4 linked regions of the Arabidopsis thaliana genome follow. The protein of the gene in region 3 interacts with the protein of the main gene of each other region in a pairwise test. Each region holds a gene or a part of one and is shown on either strand. Other genes may lie near its edges. The genes, in order: SRO1, ABF4, DREB2C and ABF3.

Region 1 (6,074 bases), 1.9 Mb from region 3:
TCCAACAAGAGCCATGTAAGCAACCTGCTCAATCACAGAAATTAAACACACTAAAACTAAGTAACCAGGTTCTTTAATACACAGAGAATTCAACACTGTTTATCAAGAAATTCTGTAGAATTTAACATGAGTCAAGAATTAAGCAACAAGAGTTTCTTTGATATAGTCCTTCAAAAAAACACAGATCAAACATTTCAACGACAAAGTAATGGATGATGCTATACAAATGAACACAAAAATTGCAAATCAAGTATATCAAATTTGAGTGTCTTTCTATTTGAAAATACACATATCAATACATATGAACATAAAAACTCATACATTTGAAATCCCCATATACATAAACGAAACGAAAAGGCACGGATCGAGAGGCACAGTCGAAGCAATAAAGGAGATTAGAGTACCTGAATCAAAGCTGTGAAGACCGCGAAACAAACATAAAGGTCGATGATCTACAAAAACAGAGTTCAAACAAGAACATTCAGCGGATTTTTCAATTTCAATGATGATTCATAAAAGATCAGAACAAAATGATAATGGTGGACCTTGAGATTCGTTGGTGTAGCGGTATAAGCAGAGTGAAGAGAATGGAAGAGATCCTGAGCATCCTTACTAGTCGATTTCACCATTTCTTCAAAGACTGACCAACACAGGCACAGCAAGCAAACTTTTCTCCTGCTTCTTCTTTTTCTCTTCTTCACGAGTCTGGTGCTCTCGCTGAAATGACGTTGTTTCAGGATTTGCTGATTAAAACGGGCTGTCATTGTTTGGGGCCTTTGGGCCCAAGCCTTTTTAAGTCTGAACTTCGAAACGTCGCCGTTTTGTTATGAGATATTTTCTAAATTATGTTTTCCACAGTTTGTAAATGGACTACCACTCGAGCTTGTTCGAAAAATCTTTAGACGTTACTCGAGGGCTCAATATGAATTTGGCGATTAATTTAAAAATCGGAAATAAATATTTAGGGTTATTATAATGTTTTTAAAACATTTTAATCTAATATTGTTTTGAAAATGGTAGTAAACATAAAAATATATTTTTAAGACAACATTTTATGTTTTTAGTTAAAATTTTGTACATAAGTTGCTATAATTTATCATACTCTTAATGTACATGTTTGAATAAAAAAGAAGTTGTTTTATATTTAAAATCTTAAATAATCAAGATATACAAAATTAGGTACGAAATAATCGGATTAGATGGAAGGTAATTAGATAACTGATTTCTTCAAGAGATTAATCATTCAATAAGGCAGGCAGAGTGGATGTAACAATTAAAAACGGAATAATCGGAGATACACTGAAATTTTTAGAATAAACACAACTTTAACAAATTCAAAGAGAACGTTTGTAATTTCCTTGTACAGCGTAAGGAAAGTTTAGATAAAAGATGTATATAATATAATAATTGAATGCATACGTAAGAGATGAGTTTATTTTCAAATTTAACGTAACCGAACAAAATAAGTTTTCTTCTAAATTCCGTAACATATGTCCTAACCACTCAAACTAAAACAAAAATTAAATTTTTTTCTGGTCTGAAGTATTAAAACCACAATCTTGACAAAATTGAAAATTTATTTTTTATGATAACAATTTTATAAATTTATATTATTGGAGCGATATCTGACAAAACTAGTTTAAAACTGAAAAAATGTCTATGTAACTATAATAGAGTAGTTTACAACACATTTATTTACTTGTTTATACTTGATAGTGAAATTGGCCGTGTTTGACCGGGTCAGAATTGATAGGTGACGGTCCAGTTAGAATTGGGCTTTGACGTAAAAAAAAAAAATGTGTAACTTTGTTCTTTGCCTAAACGATTGGCTTTGTGTCCAAGAGTAGACCGCCGACTTAGATTTTTTCGCCGACGAGAGAATATATATAAATGGCTCGTCTTTTTCCAAACGATTTCTTCTTCTTCGTCGTCGCCGGTTTAGGGTTTCCGTTGCTGTAGCAATTTTCTCTCGCTTCTCTCTCCCCTTTTACAGTTTCTCTTATATTGCTCTTGCCTTGCGTCCAATCTCAAGAGTTCATAAGGTTAGTTTAAATTTGTCTTTATTGATATAATCTATGATTCTGTGAATTGGTGTGTTACATTTAGTCGAAATTGTTGTGAATTGTGTTGTTCTTGAGATGTTTTGGTGTCAATTGATGGTTTATTTGCATAATTTTATTAGGGGTTTCGCTGAAAAGCTGAAAAAGATTGCTATTACATAATTTGTTAAGAGTGAAAATGTCTCGTCTAAGCTTCTGTTGTTATGATTCATGTATTCACCTAAACAGAAGAGAGCTTGTCTCGACAGCTTTGATAGCCTGTTGTTATTTGTTGGTCTGTTTCTGTCTTTGAAGGTTAAATTTTTTGGCTTGTCTTACAGAGTTGACATTTGTGAACATCGAAGAAATACGGTGACGTTTCTTCTCTGATTACTTTTTGCCAACATGAATACTAATGTATTTATCAACAAGTGCTACAGCCTGGTAAGTCTCAAGCTTTCCGATGAGTTTACCGTTCTATCTAGTCCGGATTTGTATCTGCAGTTTTGCTTCTTTGTTCTGTCATGTTTGTTATAAGATCTTGCCTTCTGAGTAGCTGAACCTCTTTTTTCATCCTTGTGTAGGTTAGTTGTCACTTCTTTCCTTTCTTGTAATCTTTCTTATATTGTTTTTCCTATGATTTGTAAAGGGATTTTACTGGTATCGATTCGACAGTGTTGTTTCAATTGAAACATGATGCTTTGTAGGAAAACTCATGAATAACTGTTCATATAGTTGCTTTCTGTTGGTGTTTATAGCAGTGTCTTTTTGTTAAGTAGGTTATTGCATGATGAGAGTCTTTTCATTTTTATTTTATATACAGTCACTGCACTTTTTTCATATCTGATGCACACCTTTCTTCTTGCAGTTTTTTTCGAAGCTGTTGGTGAGTTCCCATCCTTAGTACTGCTAGACAGTTCGGTGTGTTAGTTGACTTTATATTCAAGGTTATAGGTTTAGTGTTGTTAGTAGAGAAAAATGGAAGCCAAAATCGTCAAGGTATCGGATAGTAGTTATAAAGATGGTCTTGGGAAGAAGAGAAAGCATCCAGGGAACTATACTCCTTATGATTCTGGAAGGTCATATGCAAAGCTGCAATGGGTGCTTTCACCCAACAGTTCCACCCAGAAGCTTGAGAAAAGGAGAAATTTGGATGGTGAAAACAAAGTTATTGTTTCTGAGAATCATGTTGAGAAGTCTTTGGTCAGATACTTCTCTTATTATAAGAAGACAGGAGTGCCAAAACGTGTAATGTTCCATGAGAATGGTGAATGGATTGATTTGCCTGATCATATTCTATGCGACATCAGGAATGATCTTGAAGCAAAGAGAGCTACAATTGAGTTCAATTGGTGCGGTCGCCATTTTCTCCTGGATTTCTTGCACATGTATCGACTAGACTTGGAAACAGGTGTAAAAACCCAGCTTGCTTGGATTGATATTGCTGGCAAATGCTTTTTCCCTGAAACTTTTGACACCCTCGAAAGGGACGGCTGCCATCATATCCGTGGGGAAGATCCGGAACAACATGATCAACGTGAGATCAAGCTGCACATTGAAATTGATGTAAATAGTGGGGAGTTACCGAGGCTGAATTTGAATGTGGTCACTGACGAGTCTGGTGACAATATGGATGATTTTCAAGCTGTTCAGAGATCCTCAAATGGGCCAAATGACGAGGCATCAGAGGATAGCTGCAGCCGTGAGCTTGATGATGCTGTTGAGAAATGGGACAAAACAGAAACTGATCGGTTCTCTGGTGTCAAGCCTGCTGAGGAGGAGCTTGATAAAGATGCTGTCAAACAAATGTTTGCTTTGGGTGCTGCCACTCTAGGGCATGTAGAGTCGCTTGATGTGTATCAGTTTTCAAGCGAGATTGCAAAGGCTCGTCTATCTCTTTTCCAGAAGCAAGCTGACATCACTAAGAAACACCGAGGAGATGCAAACATTAGATATGCATGGGTTCCTGCGAAGAAGGAAGTGTTATCTGCCGTGATGATGCATGGACTTGGAGTGGGTGGAGCATTCATTAAAAAGTCTATGTATGGTGTTGGGGTTCACGCTGCAAACTGCCCTTATTTCAGGTTTTTATTCGCCCTCTATGCCAGTTCCTCTCTCATTTAGCCTGCCTTATGCTATTTTTGTTTCACTTTATAGTTCATTTGTTTTATGGTTTTATCTAAGCACATGTGAAAGATATTGTTTACAGTGCTAGATACTGTGATATTGACGATAATGGTGTGCGGCACATGGTTTTGTGCCGCGTAATAATGGGGAATATGGAGCCTCTTCGTGGTGATAACACGCAGTACTTTACTGGTGGAGAAGAGTATGATAATGGGGTTGATGATGTTGAGAGTCCAAAGCATTACCTTATCTGGAACATGAATATGAACACTCACATTTACCCAGAATTTGTAGTTAGCTTCAAGCTGTCTATCCCCAATGCTGAAGGTGATTACCATTTGTTATTTCTCCTGTAATTTCCATAAAAATCAACTGATGACGCATTGAATGGGAGACAGCATATAGATCTTACTGAAGATCAGCTATTTGGATCCTGAAATCTTCCTCTATAAGTTAGAAAAGGATCCACATCACCTTGTGACCTCTGGGGGTGGTAAACATACTTCATCATCCCAAGGGTCCAGTGAGATATCCATGGCTAATATATATGGGTATTTCGATGATCACATTTGTTTTCTGTAGTATTCGAAACGGGATGACATGTTTTGTTTGTGCAGGGAATATTCTTCCTACTACTCAGAGTAGGCACGAGAGTTCGGGACTCACCTTGGAAGGACCCAAAGGTTCTCCCTCAAATGTAAGTTGAATTGTACCTGATCAGATTCTCATTTTCAAGCAGTCATTGTTAATATTTGATATGGACACAAACGAGTAATGTTGCTTGTTTGTATGAAGCAGGAGCCAGGAAGGGTATCAAATGGAGGTTCAGGGAGCGAAAAGAATAGCTCCAGCAGTAGAAGGCCCAGATCTCCTATAATGCCTTTCCCTCTGCTGTTCAAAGCAATCTCGAGCAAAATTGCTCGTAAAGACATGGATTTGATAATTGCTGGTTACCAGGAACTCAGGGTAAATAATATAAACCATGTCTTTTACCAATAGTCAAGGTTATCATATTGTATTAACATAATCGGTGTGCTCTTGCAGGAGAAGAAGGTGTCGAGAAAGGAATTTTATAAGACGCTGAGTATGATTGTAGGAGATGATGATCTGCTGATATCTACAATAACAGGCCTTCAAAGGAGTTTGGGTTAGATTAATGTGTCGACTTCTCTTTGCTGTCGTGAAACCTTAATAGTTTGGATTACGACAAACGTGACTTGATCTTTAGAAACTTAGTAGTAGTACTGTTATATTTACTCTTTTGGTGAAACTAGTCTCCATTATCCTGTTTTTCTTTACTTGGAATCAAAGAGTCTTTTATTGATCAACAGCCTTGGTTCTTTGTGAGGTTTAATTCATCAGCTGGAAGTTATTCAACAGCCTTAGTTTTAAAAAGCGCGCTAATGGCGTGCCATGGCGCATAGCGCACCGATGCTCTAAGAATAGGGCAACAAGACGTGGAGGCGAGGCGACATCTATAATGCGCACGCCATACGTGAGCCTTGGCCGATGCACAAGGTGGCAAAGCGATCGCCTCTTGTGTTCAGGCGAAAACTCTTCGAAACCAACAACAGAATTCTGTGATTTTAGGGTTTGCACGAAGAAATGACTAGGAGGAATAGGATAAACCATTTTCTAAACCTAGCTGGTTAATACATGATTCAATTTAGCTGGTCAATACCTAATCCACGACTAGAAAGTTTAACCATGAGTTATAATTAGCTTATCAAACCAAATCAATCCTAGGTTTATCTTAAACTAAAACGGATTTGACCCTTACCTCTTAACCCACGACATTTTAACCAGTTAGAAGATGTAAAATCCCTAATTTTTCTAAATAGAACACCATAGACGATATAAGCTTGAAGGCTAAAACCATATGCAGAGAATCTGTTAATAGAACACCAC
Region 2 (5,517 bases), on a different chromosome or scaffold from region 3:
ATCTCTGACCCTTGAAGTCATAGCCATGTAATCTCTTTGCATTTTAGTAGAATACCCTGTAACAAGAAAAAATAATTATAGATAAAAACAACAACAAATAATCTTAACAAAACAAATGTTGATGCTTCAACGATTCGTCCTTTTTTAACACATTTTCTTGATTATATTTTGTGGCTAGAGGCCCTAGTCACAAATGCCCTCACCAACCCTTCAATCATTGAATATATACAAGCACAACCACATGCGATCATTTGGGATCTGAAATATTAATACAAACTAAGATCTCAATCATAAAAAAATAGAATGACTACAAATCTATTAGTTAATTAGGACAATTATTAAACATTTTTTCTATTCTCTATTTTATGTTTGAATCTTACTTTTTGCTAAAAAAATATTGCTCCATTGATATTTATAGTTTACTATAGTCTTGGTGATTTGTATGGATTTGTAAAAAGAGGTCAAGCGTTGATGGAGATGAACTCTACTTCTCACATCACTCGAGTCTTTTTAGATTAGTTTTTTTTTGATAAAAAGGAAACAAAGCCTAATTATGAATTAGCAAATACAACTACATCTCCATAGTCGTCCCTTGAATCTTGGTCGAACTCTGTAGCATCAAGGTTGAAATTAAACCTAAATGACAATCGTGTGTACGTGTATAAATATACATATAAGTGATGATTACATAAACTCATAGTCATATATGGGATCTATTATGGTTTTATGCTCACTCTATACGTCGGCCTAACGTGGCAAAAGTGGATATTTCTTTGAATATAAAATAGAAAAACAAAAAGCAAATAAGCAAACATTGCAATAATACCAAAAGAGGAATGAAAACATATTTCTGTATTTGGAAGTAATGATCTTAGACTCCACGCGACTGTGTTCTTTATTGTTTTGTTTCGAAGAGCGGTGTGATATTCTTATTGGCTTGCAACCAAAATGGGCTCCCAAAAAGAAAGCAAGCACCACCACTTCTTCTATCTGATGAGGGAACACTTTTAACATAAAAGTCACACAACCATAACATATATTCAAATTTCGGGTGATAACATAATGATAAAAATAGCACAACCCAATTAACTACATGTTTTGGTCATATTTTATTCATAGTTTATAGTTTTTTCTTTTTTTTTGGTAGGAGTAAAGAACACTGTCGCGTGGAGTCTAAGATCATTACTTCCAAATACAGAAATTTGGTTTCATTCCTCATTTGGTATTATTACAATGTTTGCTTATTTGCTTTTTTTCCTACTTTTTTTTTATAACATCTAGTTTATAGTTTTTGTTATATATTCAATCTATTTAGTGTCTAAACAATACTGATGATATCAAATGATTAAAAGGCTTTTGAACTGTAAAAATGACAAACAAATATCTATGATCTATGTCATAATTGAAAAAAAAAAGTTACCAATAAAGATTTTTTTTTATATAGGTAGTATTTCTTGGCTAATATGGACATGTATATAATTATATTTAGTCTTATCTATGTATGAAATTGGTTTGGATGTTGAAAAATGAATCATCCTTATCGTCAACCATTTTGGAAAGAGACAAATCTAGATTTTGATTTCTTTTTTTTTACAAATTAAAGATTTTATAATATATCACAATATTGTTGAAGATTACAATTGTGGCATATGTCAATTTGAAGATCAATTTGAATTTTTGATATACATCTAAAATAAGAAAACTAAAAGAACATAAGAAGTAATATATTTTTAAAAAATTGACCTAAAAACAAAGAATAATCATTATTATGATTTAACTCCAATGAGAAAACAATTCCAAGCACGATCTCCAACCACTCGAATCTTCACTGTCGGAAACAAACGGCCAATGTTTTACCACGTCGCATTCTTAATTGGATGTAAGTCTTTACAAGCACTTAAAACATTAAACTCTTTTTTCTCATTCGTCCACGTTTCTTTTTAAATTAATACTGTTAACAGATAATTATTCACAAAAAAATAATATCTGAAGAACAAAAAAAAAGGTTTCAGGGCCTTAAAATGGCTGCTCGTGTCGAGGCGGCAGCAACACACTTGTCGTCTCTCCCTGTAGCTTCTCTGGAGTTTTCGCAGTCACGAATCTTGTTTTGAAGAAATTAATTTGGTAAAACATATTTTCGAGCTCCTTTCTCTTTTATTATCCGTTTTCTGACTTCTGGATCTGTCTTTGTCGGATCATCCAATTTTTTTGTTGTCTTTCCTCTGTTTCGTTTATGAATCATGATGATGTACATGTTGTAACTGAAGTAACTTTTGGTTATCAAATTAGAGTTAAAGAGAGAATTTTTACGAGATATTTGTTATAAATTTATCGATTTGATTCTTGTTGCTATTAGGGTTTTGTCTATTTGATTCGATCGGGTTTTTTTTAAGAGAAATGGGTTGTGGAATCTGGAATAGATCCTTCTCATGCTTGTTGGGTTTTGCTGATTTTCTCGTTTTTGGTTTTATGAGTAAACTCTGTATCTGGTGTGAATTCGTTTTCCATCAAAAAAAGTCATCAAATTACGTTTTTTTATAAACATTATCCAAAGATCTGACCTTTATTGATTGACTTTACTGTGCTTTTACATTTGTTCGCACGCATTTATGTGGTTTGTCCAGTTTCACTTTAGTATTCTTTCTCTTATATGGATGTGAACATGCATTAGTGACACATAGTTCACTCCTTTTTATTTTCCTCGGAAGTTCTCTTTTTCATGGATTCTTAGCATTATGTAATATACACTCTAACTGCTTTACTTTGATTTTAGAACAAGGGTTTTAGGGCTTGGATGCTTTGTTTTCATTGAAAAAGAAGTAGAAGGAGTGTATACAAGGATTATGGGAACTCACATCAATTTCAACAACTTAGGAGGTGGTGGTCATCCTGGAGGGGAAGGGAGTAGTAACCAGATGAAGCCAACGGGTAGTGTCATGCCCTTGGCTAGGCAGTCCTCGGTCTACTCCCTTACCTTTGATGAGTTACAGAACACACTAGGTGGACCGGGAAAAGATTTCGGGTCGATGAACATGGATGAACTCCTGAAGAGCATATGGACTGCTGAGGAAGCTCAGGCCATGGCCATGACTTCTGCGCCAGCTGCTACAGCGGTAGCGCAACCTGGTGCTGGTATCCCACCCCCAGGTGGGAATCTCCAGAGGCAAGGTTCGTTGACGTTGCCTAGAACAATTAGTCAGAAGACTGTTGATGAGGTGTGGAAATGTTTGATCACCAAGGATGGTAATATGGAAGGTAGCAGCGGAGGCGGTGGTGAGTCGAATGTGCCTCCTGGAAGGCAACAGACTTTAGGGGAAATGACACTTGAAGAATTTCTGTTCCGTGCTGGGGTTGTAAGAGAAGATAACTGTGTTCAACAGATGGGTCAGGTCAACGGAAACAATAACAATGGGTTTTATGGTAACAGCACTGCTGCTGGCGGCTTAGGTTTTGGATTTGGTCAGCCAAATCAAAACAGCATAACATTCAATGGTACTAATGATTCTATGATCTTGAATCAGCCACCTGGTTTAGGGCTCAAAATGGGTGGAACAATGCAGCAGCAACAACAACAACAGCAGTTGCTTCAGCAGCAACAACAGCAGATGCAGCAGCTGAATCAGCCTCATCCACAGCAGCGGCTGCCTCAAACCATTTTTCCTAAACAAGCAAACGTAGCATTTTCTGCGCCTGTGAATATAACCAACAAGGGTTTTGCTGGGGCTGCAAATAATTCTATCAACAATAATAATGGATTAGCTAGTTACGGAGGAACCGGGGTCACTGTTGCAGCAACTTCTCCAGGAACAAGCAGCGCAGAAAATAATTCTTTATCACCAGTTCCGTATGTGCTTAATCGAGGACGAAGAAGCAATACAGGTCTAGAGAAGGTTATCGAGAGGAGGCAAAGGAGAATGATCAAGAATCGGGAATCAGCTGCTAGATCAAGAGCTCGAAAGCAGGTGAATATAAATCTAACTAAACTTATCTAGTCCCTTTTGTTTGGTTTGACTATTATGGTCTTATATTTTGCAAGACTGCATTAAACAGAAACATAAAACCAGCAAAGATATCTTCTATCCCGAACCACTTCTTGTATTATGAAAGATGCTTTATCTTCCATGTTTTTTAACTATCCACTAATTACAGGCTTATACATTGGAACTGGAAGCCGAAATTGAAAAGCTCAAGAAAACGAATCAAGAACTGCAGAAAAAACAGGTTTCTTTCTGTTTACAACCTCTCTGTGTGTTTTCTGTTTTCCCCTATCAGACTTTTAGAACTTGGCTCTGATCCTAGCTTCCCCTGTATTGCAGGCTGAAATGGTGGAAATGCAGAAGAATGAGGTAATTGTTTAAGAACTTTTCTTTTCATTGAGTTCATTCTGAAACCCTTGACCATACTTGATTAGGACCAACATCAGCAGCAAAAGACTAAACTTAAGTTGTAGCTCTGATAGTGTATGTTGGTCCTTATCAAGTATGTCCCCAACTGAAGCTCAAACCTGAGATAGCTTTCGAACATTTCGTGGTCTTGCTTCGTTTTGAATAGCCTTTTTGATTGTGTTGTTCACTAGTATTCTTTTCAAAATTAGCAGCTGAAAGAAACGTCGAAGCGACCGTGGGGCAGCAAAAGGCAATGCTTGAGAAGGACATTAACCGGACCATGGTGAAGGATGAAGCAACAAGAACGGATGAACCAGACTCCTAGCTTGGGATTAATGTAATAGGATAGTGCTACCTGTACAGGAGATTAAGAGAAATTGAGTGAAAGATCTAGGTTACAGAGTAGGAGAGAGTTTTCATTATGAATAAATGACATTTTGTGCCCTGACCTTTGTTAGTTTAGGTTTAGATTATCCTCTGTTATTGACTTATTGTGCTTTCTGGTTGTTAGGGTTTCTAAAAGACATAGTTGTTTATATATATGTCTGACTTTGTATTCCGGATTTGGTTCTCTTGTGTCATTAACTTGGGTTTAGCCATTATTACTTAAGAGTGGCAACGAAATCATTCTTGACTCTGGTTGGAAAACATATGTCATCTTTCAAAACTGCAATTAGAAAACAGTTAGGATGATCCTAAGTGACAAATTTCTAGAAAAAATGTGACTAATTTGTCTCTGCTCACTCAAAAAGAGAGACCATTTGGTGGAGAGTGAGGGGAGCCAGTCTCAAGCAGAAAACTCCGGCTACAATGCGACCTTGAAGTAGTACTAGAGGAAGAAGCCAAGCCACGGATGTCTCCACTTTGGAACCCTGAGTCACCTCTCAGTGACCGTCCTTTGTTCTCTTCAACTGCCATTGCAAGCCCGAGATGCAACGGATCACAGCTTTCGTACAACAGCCTCAGAACTTGCTTGATTGATGGCCTAGCCACGCCTTCTTTCTCTGTGCACCATCTTACAACTGCCACTACTGTTTCAAGCTGTTCTCCATCTATGCAGTCTTTGATTCTCGGATCCACCAGATCTATGCGTCTTGATTCTGATACCAGCAAAGGCTGAGACAGTTCTACC
Region 3 (4,367 bases):
GGTGTTGGTAGATTCTGTGATGCTTAAAAATTGTTTCTTTGAAGGTGCTTTGATCCCAAGTATAGTTGAACATGTTGCTTTAAATCTTGTTAAGAGAAAAAATGGGACTTGCTTCTGTGCCCAATAGTTCACGAGCATGTTGCTAATCTTGCTTCTATGCCCAGGAAACGGAAGTCTCGTGGAACACGAGATGTAGCTGAGATTCTAAGGAAATGGAGAGAGTACAATGAGCAGACCGAGGCAGATTCTTGCATCGATGGTGGTGGTTCAAAACCAATCCGAAAGGCTCCTCCAAAACGTTCGAGGAAGGGTTGTATGAAAGGTAAAGGTGGACCTGAAAATGGGATTTGTGACTATACAGGAGTTAGACAGAGGACATGGGGTAAATGGGTTGCTGAGATCCGTGAGCCAGGCCGAGGTGCTAAGTTATGGCTCGGTACTTTCTCTAGTTCATATGAAGCTGCATTGGCTTATGATGAGGCTTCCAAAGCTATTTACGGTCAGTCTGCCCGACTCAATCTTCCACTGCTGCCACTGTGTCAGGCTCGGTTACTGCATTTTCTGATGAATCTGAAGTTTGTGCACGTGAGGATACAAATGCAAGATCTGGTTTTGGTCAGGTCAGACTAGAGGATTGTATTGATGAATATGTTCTCCTAGATAGTTCTAGTGTATTGTTAATCGTAGTTGACTATTGTGAGGTCTTAAGTTGTAGATTGAAAATGAGATAGCTCATATGGAGCTTTATTGAAATGCAAGAAAGTAAACAAAGGAAGATCTTTAGATTGTCACCAAGAGTGGTCTGAAACTCTCATAACACTCAATCCTCCTCCTCCTCATCACCACCACTACAAAATATTATATTCTCTATCTCTCAATCTATGAGGAGATGTATTCTATCAAGCATTTGAAATGATAAGAAACTGGCGATCATCCTCTACGTCACCATCACTCCAAAATTATCCTCTTTCTAGGTTTAAGTTTTGTAATGATCGCCTTTATTTGTTGAGATCTCTAACTTCTCGCATTTCCAAAATGTTAAGTCCAATAACTGCATTGGTTAAGTTGGGGCGTTACTAGTCGGCTTAAATCCAAATATGGATTTGATTCCATATGTATGTGACAGTTTCTTAACGTTCATATTACAATGAATGATGGATCCTTGACTAGACAAAGAGAAAATGGATTGTCACTTCGTAGGAAAAATAGAAATTCTCCACGAAGGCTGGTCTCCTTTATTTAACGACAAATTCACTCATAGTCTCATTCACAATTTGAACTTGTCTAACACAATGTGTTATATACTCGCGAAAAGAAGCATAATAGGCTCTTAAGGGTAATCCACGAAACCAAAACACATATAAAACATTAATATTTTTCTCTAAATTTATTCATATCAATAATAAAGTTTACAAAAAATATAAAACAATAATCCATACTTAGCCCATAGCTTCGTGTGGAAGAAGACTTGATTTTTGACTAGTCAACGAAAATGAGTAAATGACGTATTCAGCTATAGTAAAAGGGATCATAAGCGGAAATTACAAAGAAGCTTTGAGGGTAAAATAGTCAAAAAGCATAATCAGAAATAACTTAGGCCCAAAGCAAAAAGGAAAGGACTCTGGATCCAGCCGCAAATCAGAATCTGGTAAGTTCGAACGCCACGTCATCACCTAAATATCTGAAATATCTAATTAAGACTTGTCTATATATAAAGGCTTCTCCTTTCACAATCCCAAACCTTTCTCTTCTCTGCTAACGAGAAAACAAAAGCTATCGTCTTTGCTACTACTACTACTACTATTATTACATTGAATCCTTTGTGTTCTTCTTCTTCAGCTGCTACTTTGTTCGAGTGCTTTCTTACATGCCGTCGGAGATTGTTGACAGGTTTGTTTGTTACATTTTTCGATTTTTCTCCGTTTTTTTTCCTCTCTTCTGTATGTTTGCTAAATGTGATTGTTCATTGTTAGGGTTTAAGATTTTCTTTTTATCGATTTTTGTTGTTTTGTGTGTATATCCTCCAAGTTCCTTTGTTTGTGTAATAGGTGGAAGCTGAAAGGTTTTTCAATTTTAGGGTTTTTGGGGTTTTTTGTTGACTGAAATTTGTTAATTTGGGGCACAATTTGTCTCTTTTGGATTGAGTTCTGTGCGATTTGTGGATTCTAGTTCGTGTGTGGTTAAGAGACTTGGAAATTAGAGGATTTTTAGCTAAAATAATCGTTAAAGGTGGTACCTTTCCTGATACAGAAGTTAGATTATGGATTCTATGTTGAATCTTTAGGTGATTCTCTGTTTCTGAGTTTGCTCTGTTCTAGTTTCTTAATCTGTTCGTGATGGAGTTTCTTTCTTGCTCGCTGTGATGCTGCAGATTATGAAAACTTCTTCTTGTAGCTACTTCGGTGTAATTACGTTCAGGTGGTTAAAAATTGTTTCTTTGAAAGGTGCTTTGATCCGAAGTATAGTTGAACCTGTTGCTTGAAATTTTGTGAAGAGAGAAAATTGGAGTTCTCGAGCATGTTGCTAATCTTGCTTCTATCCCCTTTGATTCTACCAGGAAAAGGAAGTCTCGTGGAACACGAGATGTAGCTGAGATTCTAAGGCAATGGAGAGAGTACAATGAGCAGATTGAGGCAGAATCTTGTATCGATGGTGGTGGTCCAAAATCAATCCGAAAGCCTCCTCCAAAAGGTTCGAGGAAGGGTTGTATGAAAGGTAAAGGTGGACCTGAAAACGGGATTTGTGACTATAGAGGAGTTAGACAGAGGAGATGGGGTAAATGGGTTGCTGAGATCCGTGAGCCAGACGGAGGTGCTAGGTTGTGGCTCGGTACTTTCTCCAGTTCATATGAAGCTGCATTGGCTTATGACGAGGCGGCCAAAGCTATATATGGTCAGTCTGCCAGACTCAATCTTCCCGAGATCACAAATCGCTCTTCTTCGACTGCTGCCACTGCCACTGTGTCAGGCTCGGTTACTGCATTTTCTGATGAATCTGAAGTTTGTGCACGTGAGGATACAAATGCAAGTTCAGGTTTTGGTCAGGTGAAACTAGAGGATTGTAGCGATGAATATGTTCTCTTAGATAGTTCTCAGTGTATTAAAGAGGAGCTGAAAGGAAAAGAGGAAGTGAGGGAAGAACATAACTTGGCTGTTGGTTTTGGAATTGGACAGGACTCGAAAAGGGAGACTTTGGATGCTTGGTTGATGGGAAATGGCAATGAACAAGAACCATTGGAGTTTGGTGTGGATGAAACGTTTGATATTAATGAGCTATTGGGTATATTAAACGACAACAATGTGTCTGGTCAAGAGACAATGCAGTATCAAGTGGATAGACACCCAAATTTCAGTTACCAAACGCAGTTTCCAAATTCTAACTTGCTCGGGAGCCTCAACCCTATGGAGATTGCTCAACCAGGAGTTGATTATGGATGTCCTTATGTGCAGCCCAGTGATATGGAGAACTATGGTATTGATTTAGACCATCGCAGGTTCAATGATCTTGACATACAGGACTTGGATTTTGGAGGAGACAAAGATGTTCATGGATCTACATAAGATTTCAAATTTCGTTTGACTGGCCTAAGTTTGTGATTCTGCTCCGAGACGGTGTAGCTGTTACTAGCTAGAAGCTGCCCTTCTTTGAAGCTACTGATACTTTCTGATATTAATGGTTGTGAGACGTAGTACATGTAGTTAGGTAATGTAGGACAAGTTCAAATATGATTCCTTCTTTCTTTTTCTTGTGAATACATATGACATATGAAGAAGTTCAAACGTTGGGTTTAGAAAAAGTTTATAACATTCGGTACATATCAAAGTTTTGAACTTCGGATGCATATAAGCTATAAAGTTTTGATCTTTGAACTTTGGATACTCTCACATCTAATTTTCATCCTTAAGAATGGAGATGGAATAATGCGATGTTGCGTAGTGGTTTTATTGACTTGGCAAGTTTTGATTATTCAAGAAACTTGGCTTAGTTTAATGGAAATATCCAGTAGTGGAGTTTTTTGGTCTGCAGACTTTCCTCAGGTTGTCTGAGATTACATAAGCAATGAGGTATGAATAATAAAGTTATCATTAGAGAGTTATCTATCTGTATTTTCTACAAAAGGCAAATTGGGTATTTGAAAGTGCAAATGGGACATAGTTGTATATTATTTAAAAGGCTTTAACTATTCCATTCTGGTCTCCAAAATCGTTTTTCTTGCTCGAATCTTGAAGATCTTCTAAGCCTTTAGAAAAATGAAGAAATCAAGTTGGCAAACTGTTAATTAATTAAATCCAATGAATTGGTGGGTATTGCACCTCCACAAGTTCCCTTTGACAATGTGTCCTCTTCTCCGCAAGAATGAGATGCAA
Region 4 (5,015 bases), on a different chromosome or scaffold from region 3:
CTATTGTTCTTTTCTTTGTCATATACATGGACAAACGCCATAAACAATTGGAATCCTATTTTAGGAGAAGAGAACGACTGTGTATCCTTCAGAGTCAGACGAGCCTATGAATCAACAAATGATCGAAGGAGCCGAAGTTGTTATAGATGGAAACGTGATTACAAGTTTGGGGCTCGCAACTGTTACCAAATTTTCCCTGGCTATTGTTAGCAAGCTGTTCGGACATGCTAGAGCAAGGAGTGTTTCAGAAGGGCTTGTGCATGAGTATCCAAGGCAGTAACCGTTTGAAAGCATCTTGTTCAAGAAACACAGTTAGAAGATGTCTCATTACTGATCTTAAACCGAAGTATAACGGTCCGATGGTATCAAACCACCTCAACTCCAGAGACTTTTCACAAGTATCATCTGTTCAACGTTGATGCACCTTATCCTGAAGCGGGATGCTATCTGCAAGAATTTTGCCAATTTAGTATGTGTATCTAATTTTGTACGCCCAGTTGGATTACCAGATGTTGATGCTAAACTTGATGTTTACTCTCTTCTATAATAAAGGTGTTGACTTGGGCCCAAATGAGCTAAAGAAAAAATTGCAGACAAGATACAAGATAAATTCACTCTGGTTAAGTCACAAAGATGTTCAAGACAAATGATAAAGATCCATTACATCAGGAAGATAAAACCAAAAGATTTAGGAAAATAGAACAGATATGTGTTTATCTATCTCTGTCAAATCCGCCACACTTCAAGATTTACAATCACCCACAGAACCTGCCTAAACTACGTACAAAGCTAGCTTTCTATCTTCTGAGTTGTTCTATAACTTCGGCGCTTTGTTGGGTTCCTTAGACGCCATTATAAGCTCTACCAGGGACCCGTCAATGTCCTTCGCAAGCATTGCCTTTTGCATCCCATTCCCCATGGCTGGCGCAGAGGCTCCAGAAGCTGCAACAACAAATGAGCCAACTTCCGTTAAATCCATGCTCGTCAGATTAGTCTCATGAAATATCCAAATTGGCATTGCAACATATTCACAAATCTTAAATACTTTATGCAGAGTGGGAAATCAAAAATGTGATGATATGTCTCACTTCATGGTATAGCTTACACTATTCTACTCAAAAGCTTAGAATACTGTCCAAAAGTGTAATTCATTATGAGTGAGAGTTAAAAGCCTAGCCAACAACCATAGAGGATATTCAAATCAAGACAGTACCTGATTTTTCTGCTTTTCCATGATTTCAACCTGCATGAAACATTTGGTCAGTGAATACAACCTCAAGAAAATATGAAAATCTCGAGATTCTTAATTGTGATAGGGAAGAAGCGAGACACACTTGTTTCTTCTGCAACTCTTCATTCAATTCTTTGAGTTGCGCAATTTCTGCTTCCAGTTCCATCGTATAAGCCTGTCAAGCAAGAAAGTGAAAAAGTAAATAACATGGTCACAGTTTTAAGGTTTCTTTAATCTCCAAAATTTAAACAAACACTCACTTGCTTGCGAGCGCGGGATCTTGCAGCTGATTCCCTATTCTTTATCATCCTTTTTTGCCTTCTCTCAATCACTTTCTCCAGAACTGCACCTGTTTTTCTCACTCGCCCAAACATGTAAGGAACAGGGGACAAAGATGCATCCAGGGCGCTCTTTGGAGTCAGATCAGGTGACATCTGGCTTCCAGGAGATACTGCTGCAACCGTTACTCCTGTTTTAAAATCGACAGCTTGCAGTAGATTGTTGTTCATAGGATGGTTATGAATTCCAAGTATTGAAGGCTTCACTTCCTGGCACTGCGAAAAAAGTAAAAACAAGTCATGCTCAGATAACTGAAACATACATGCATATCCAAAACCAGCTTATCTTAAAACATGAAGGCTACGTCTAATATTTTTCAGATGATTGTATTTCCTACAAAATGTAGTAGCTTAGGTTCTTTAGTCACCTGTGTTGCAGGTTGAGAACGGTTAACCACATCAACAGTGTTGGAAAATGCTATAGTGGTCTGTTTGGGAAAAGGCCTCTCCTGCGTCTGTATCAGTTGTTGCGGCTGCTGCACCATCTGTGGCTGCTGCACCATCTGTGGCTGCTGCATCTGTAGTGGCTGAGTTTGAGCAGTCAGCAGATCCTGTCTCACCGCTACTCCATTTCCTGACAAATCTTGAGGTTGGTTTGCAACAAACCCATTACTAGCTGTCCCAAGACCTCCATTACTGCCAAATCCATAGAATCCGCCATTGAAGTTAGTTACACTCTCCACCGGTTGAGGTTCTTCCCTAACCACACCAGCCCTGACCAAAAACTCCTCCAAAGTCATCTCTCCCAGCGTTTGTTGCCTCTGCGGAATTCCGCTTGTCCCACCATTAACAACACCATTTCCAATGTCATCCTCCTTCATCAGCTCCTTCCAGACATCATCAACCCTTTTCTGACTAATCGTCCGAGGCAAGGTAAGTGAACCTTGTCTCTGCAAACTCCCACCAGTGAAAAAACCACCACTTTCTCCTCCCACACCAACAGCTAACCCACCAATGTTGTTACCACCGCCGTTAATAACAGTGTTTCCACTATTACCATTGCTGATGTTGGTGTAACTGGTATTGTTTCCCATCATTGAATGACTTTCCTCTGCAGTCCAAATGTTCTTCAAGAGCTCATCCATGTTCATAGACCCAAAATCTTTCCCAATTCCACCACCCCATGAGTTCTGAAACTCATCAAAGGTTAACGAGAACACAGAGTTCTGCCTAGTCAATGGAAGACTAGTCCCCACCGTTGGCTGCTGCTCACTCACACCATCAACAAAGCTCTTGAAGTTTAATCTAGACCCCATTACTCAAGCTTTCGTACAACTAGGAGGATCAAGCTTCTGGATATTTACCTATAAGAAAACAAACAAGCAGAGAGATTATGGTTTAATTATACATACATCCATAAATTCATCAACAAACGAAGAATCTAAAAAAGCACTGATCTTTATCCAGTTTTAAAGTACCAAAATTTAAGAACCAAATCCAAAGCCGTGAGACAAAATCAGATTTTTATCAGTTCCAAAGCTAAACCCAAACAAAAGATCTAAATGAAATATAAGCACAATGAAGTCAAACAGAGCAAATGGTGAAAATGGAAAGGAATCTCCTTTTAATCAGTAAACAAATCTCCAAAACACCCAATCATATGCTTATTATTCAGCGGGAAAAAAAAATCATGATTCTCTTCGAATCAGTGAATCTGAACAAGAAAACCAATCAGTAATAGACAACAAAAATCGATTCATCAAACCAAAAAAAAAAAGAAAGAAAAAAAATGAAGCAGCTCAGTCACACAAACTAACAAAAAAAAAAAGGAAGTTTTTTGTTAATTTTCCTGACCTTCGAATTTATTTTTTTTCTTTGGAAATGGAAAATCAATAATTCCTCTTTGAGAAATAAAAGATACCTGAAAGGGGTCAGAGCGAGAGAGATGGACAAGTGTCCATGGCGTGACACTCGTCGTGATATAAAAGGGTTGGTTTCTTTTGTTTGGATGCGACTATTATTTTATTCTCGATAAGGTTATTATAGTATTATGCCAATTTGACGTCAGATCGTGCGTGAGCCGTAGAGATTGGGCAACGTGGTCCAATTAGAAACGCCGCTTTTTCTTTAAATCATTATCGATACATTTGCGTTTCCCACCAATAAAATTTCGCAAAGTGGAAGCATTTTTGGCCGTTTGATTTCCTAAACGGCGTCGTCGTTTACGAGACCAAGTACTACTACTAGTACTACATCTTGGAACAAATTATCAAAATATTCTTATAACTTTTTTTTAAGGATAGATAACCAATAAAAATTAAAATTGATGCATTCATTAGCAGTATAGTAATGAATACGAGATTCGTTGATCCGTTATTTGAGTAACAATCTAACGTAGTGTTCACTAACACTTACTTAGCTACCTAATAAAATAGGGATCACACTTTCATTTCTTGTAAGTTGATGCACCTATTTGATCGAATGGTATGAAAATTTGGTTGGAAACAAAATAACCAACGTTATTCCATTCAAGGGAGCGCATTATGGAAAAAAAATTATGATACGATAAGATTTGTAAGAAAAAATAAGAAACAAATGGAAGAAGGGAATGGGTGAACAGTCCGGAATCTTTATCACGTTTGCTGCACCTACAAAGGGATGGTCATTTGCCACGTGGCGCACTCAATGCCTGCCCTCTTAACAATATTTAAAAAAGTTGAAATGAAGCAAACATACAATAAAATTATGATCTTGTGTGTTGATCTTCACATGGTGATTGTGATCTTGTCTTCAACTTCTTTATTTTATTACACCATTATTGAGACTTCTTTACATTTGGACTCGGTACAATACAAGTGACCCTTCGTGTCTCCCATCTTTTATTTCTATTTTCAATCTTTTTATATTATTTTTTCTTTAAGAATCTACTGGATTAGGAAAGTCTACTCTGCAATACATACTAGTATTAAACAAATATGGAACCGTGATTTTGTTTAATGTTATCATATAGAATTCACATGGGACTCGACGACTCTTTTGAGACGTGCTCTTTCCCGAATTAGATTTAATTAATTGAAGTTACTTCTTTAAGGTCGTGTAGAAACAAAATGTATAAATTATAACCACCTTTCAAGAATCCAAAACTCAAAACCAACGAAAGTACGAAACTATAACAACCGGAAGAAACAACACACAACCGAAATGCTAAAACGTTGTTAACAAAAACAAGTTTAATGTGTAACTTTTTTTCAGCTAGGCTAAAATCCTAGAAGGTTAAAAGATATATAACCTTTTTTTAACAAAAAAGAGAGAGTTTAATATGTAAGTTGCAACAACAGGGTAAGTTTGAAGAAATTTACTTTTTCTTAATTCCATGGTAAGATAATAACAAAATTACAAAATAATTCTTACAATAACAAAATTAGATCAAAAACCTAAACCACAATAAAGAAAAAGAATGAAACCTTAGTGTCATGCCCATATATATTTATTACTTTCTATGTGTC

What was found.
Region 1: the proteins of DREB2C (region 3) and SRO1 interact in a two-hybrid assay, tested with the Arabidopsis thaliana proteins (one study listed by BioGRID).
Region 2: the proteins of DREB2C (region 3) and ABF4 interact in a two-hybrid assay, tested with the Arabidopsis thaliana proteins (one study listed by BioGRID).
Region 4: the proteins of DREB2C (region 3) and ABF3 interact in a two-hybrid assay, tested with the Arabidopsis thaliana proteins (one study listed by BioGRID).

Annotation. Positions count from the first base shown.
Region 1 is NC_003071.7:14,916,142-14,922,215, reverse strand, and holds SRO1 (uncharacterized protein), read left to right. Parts: upstream 1-1,733; 5' UTR 1,734-2,042; intron 2,043-2,380; 5' UTR 2,381-2,483; exon of another isoform or gene 2,484-2,623; intron 2,624-2,907; 5' UTR 2,908-3,017; coding exon 3,018-4,123; intron 4,124-4,248; coding exon 4,249-4,493; coding exon of another isoform or gene 4,494-4,522; exon of another isoform or gene 4,523-4,783; coding exon 4,784-4,863; intron 4,864-4,964; coding exon 4,965-5,132; intron 5,133-5,210; coding exon 5,211-5,318; 3' UTR 5,319-5,526; downstream 5,527-6,074. Other genes in the region: DAD2 (Defender against death (DAD family) protein), read right to left, coding at 1-27, 405-452, 546-629. UniProt on the Arabidopsis thaliana protein: Probable inactive ADP-ribosyltransferase that functions with RCD1 to regulate oxidative stress, hormonal and developmental responses. May regulate some stress-responsive genes. Seems to play a smaller developmental role than R.
Region 2 is NC_003074.8:6,685,113-6,690,629, forward strand, and holds ABF4 (ABRE binding factor 4), read left to right. Parts: upstream 1-1,929; 5' UTR 1,930-2,124; exon of another isoform or gene 2,125-2,773; 5' UTR 2,774-2,843; coding exon 2,844-3,962; intron 3,963-4,050; coding exon of another isoform or gene 4,051-4,095; intron 4,096-4,149; coding exon 4,150-4,221; intron 4,222-4,316; coding exon 4,317-4,346; coding exon of another isoform or gene 4,347-4,358; exon of another isoform or gene 4,359-4,594; coding exon 4,595-4,672; 3' UTR 4,673-5,011; downstream 5,012-5,517. Other genes in the region: AT3G19300 (Protein kinase superfamily protein), read right to left, coding at 5,130-5,517. UniProt on the Arabidopsis thaliana protein: Functions as a transcriptional activator in the ABA-inducible expression of LTI65/RD29B (AC Q04980). Binds specifically to the ABA-responsive element (ABRE) of the LTI65/RD29B (AC Q04980) gene promoter.
Region 3 is NC_003071.7:16,847,858-16,852,224, reverse strand, and holds DREB2C (Integrase-type DNA-binding superfamily protein), read left to right. Parts: upstream 1-1,737; 5' UTR 1,738-1,867; coding exon of another isoform or gene 1,868-1,890; exon of another isoform or gene 1,891-2,371; 5' UTR 2,372-2,374; coding exon 2,375-2,418; exon of another isoform or gene 2,419-2,557; coding exon 2,558-3,560; 3' UTR 3,561-3,836; downstream 3,837-4,367. Other genes in the region: AT2G40350 (Integrase-type DNA-binding superfamily protein), read left to right, coding at 165-630. UniProt on the Arabidopsis thaliana protein: Transcriptional activator that binds specifically to the DNA sequence 5'-[AG]CCGAC-3'. Binding to the C-repeat/DRE element mediates high salinity- and abscisic acid-inducible transcription.
Region 4 is NC_003075.7:16,293,818-16,298,832, reverse strand, and holds ABF3 (abscisic acid responsive elements-binding factor 3), read right to left. Parts: upstream 3,500-5,015; 5' UTR 2,826-3,499; coding exon 1,938-2,825; intron 1,786-1,937; coding exon 1,492-1,785; intron 1,407-1,491; coding exon 1,335-1,406; coding exon of another isoform or gene 1,244-1,334; coding exon 1,214-1,243; intron 943-1,213; coding exon 862-942; 3' UTR 548-861; downstream 1-547. Other genes in the region: DJ1C (Class I glutamine amidotransferase-like superfamily protein), read left to right, coding at 65-280. UniProt on the Arabidopsis thaliana protein: Binds to the ABA-responsive element (ABRE). Mediates stress-responsive ABA signaling.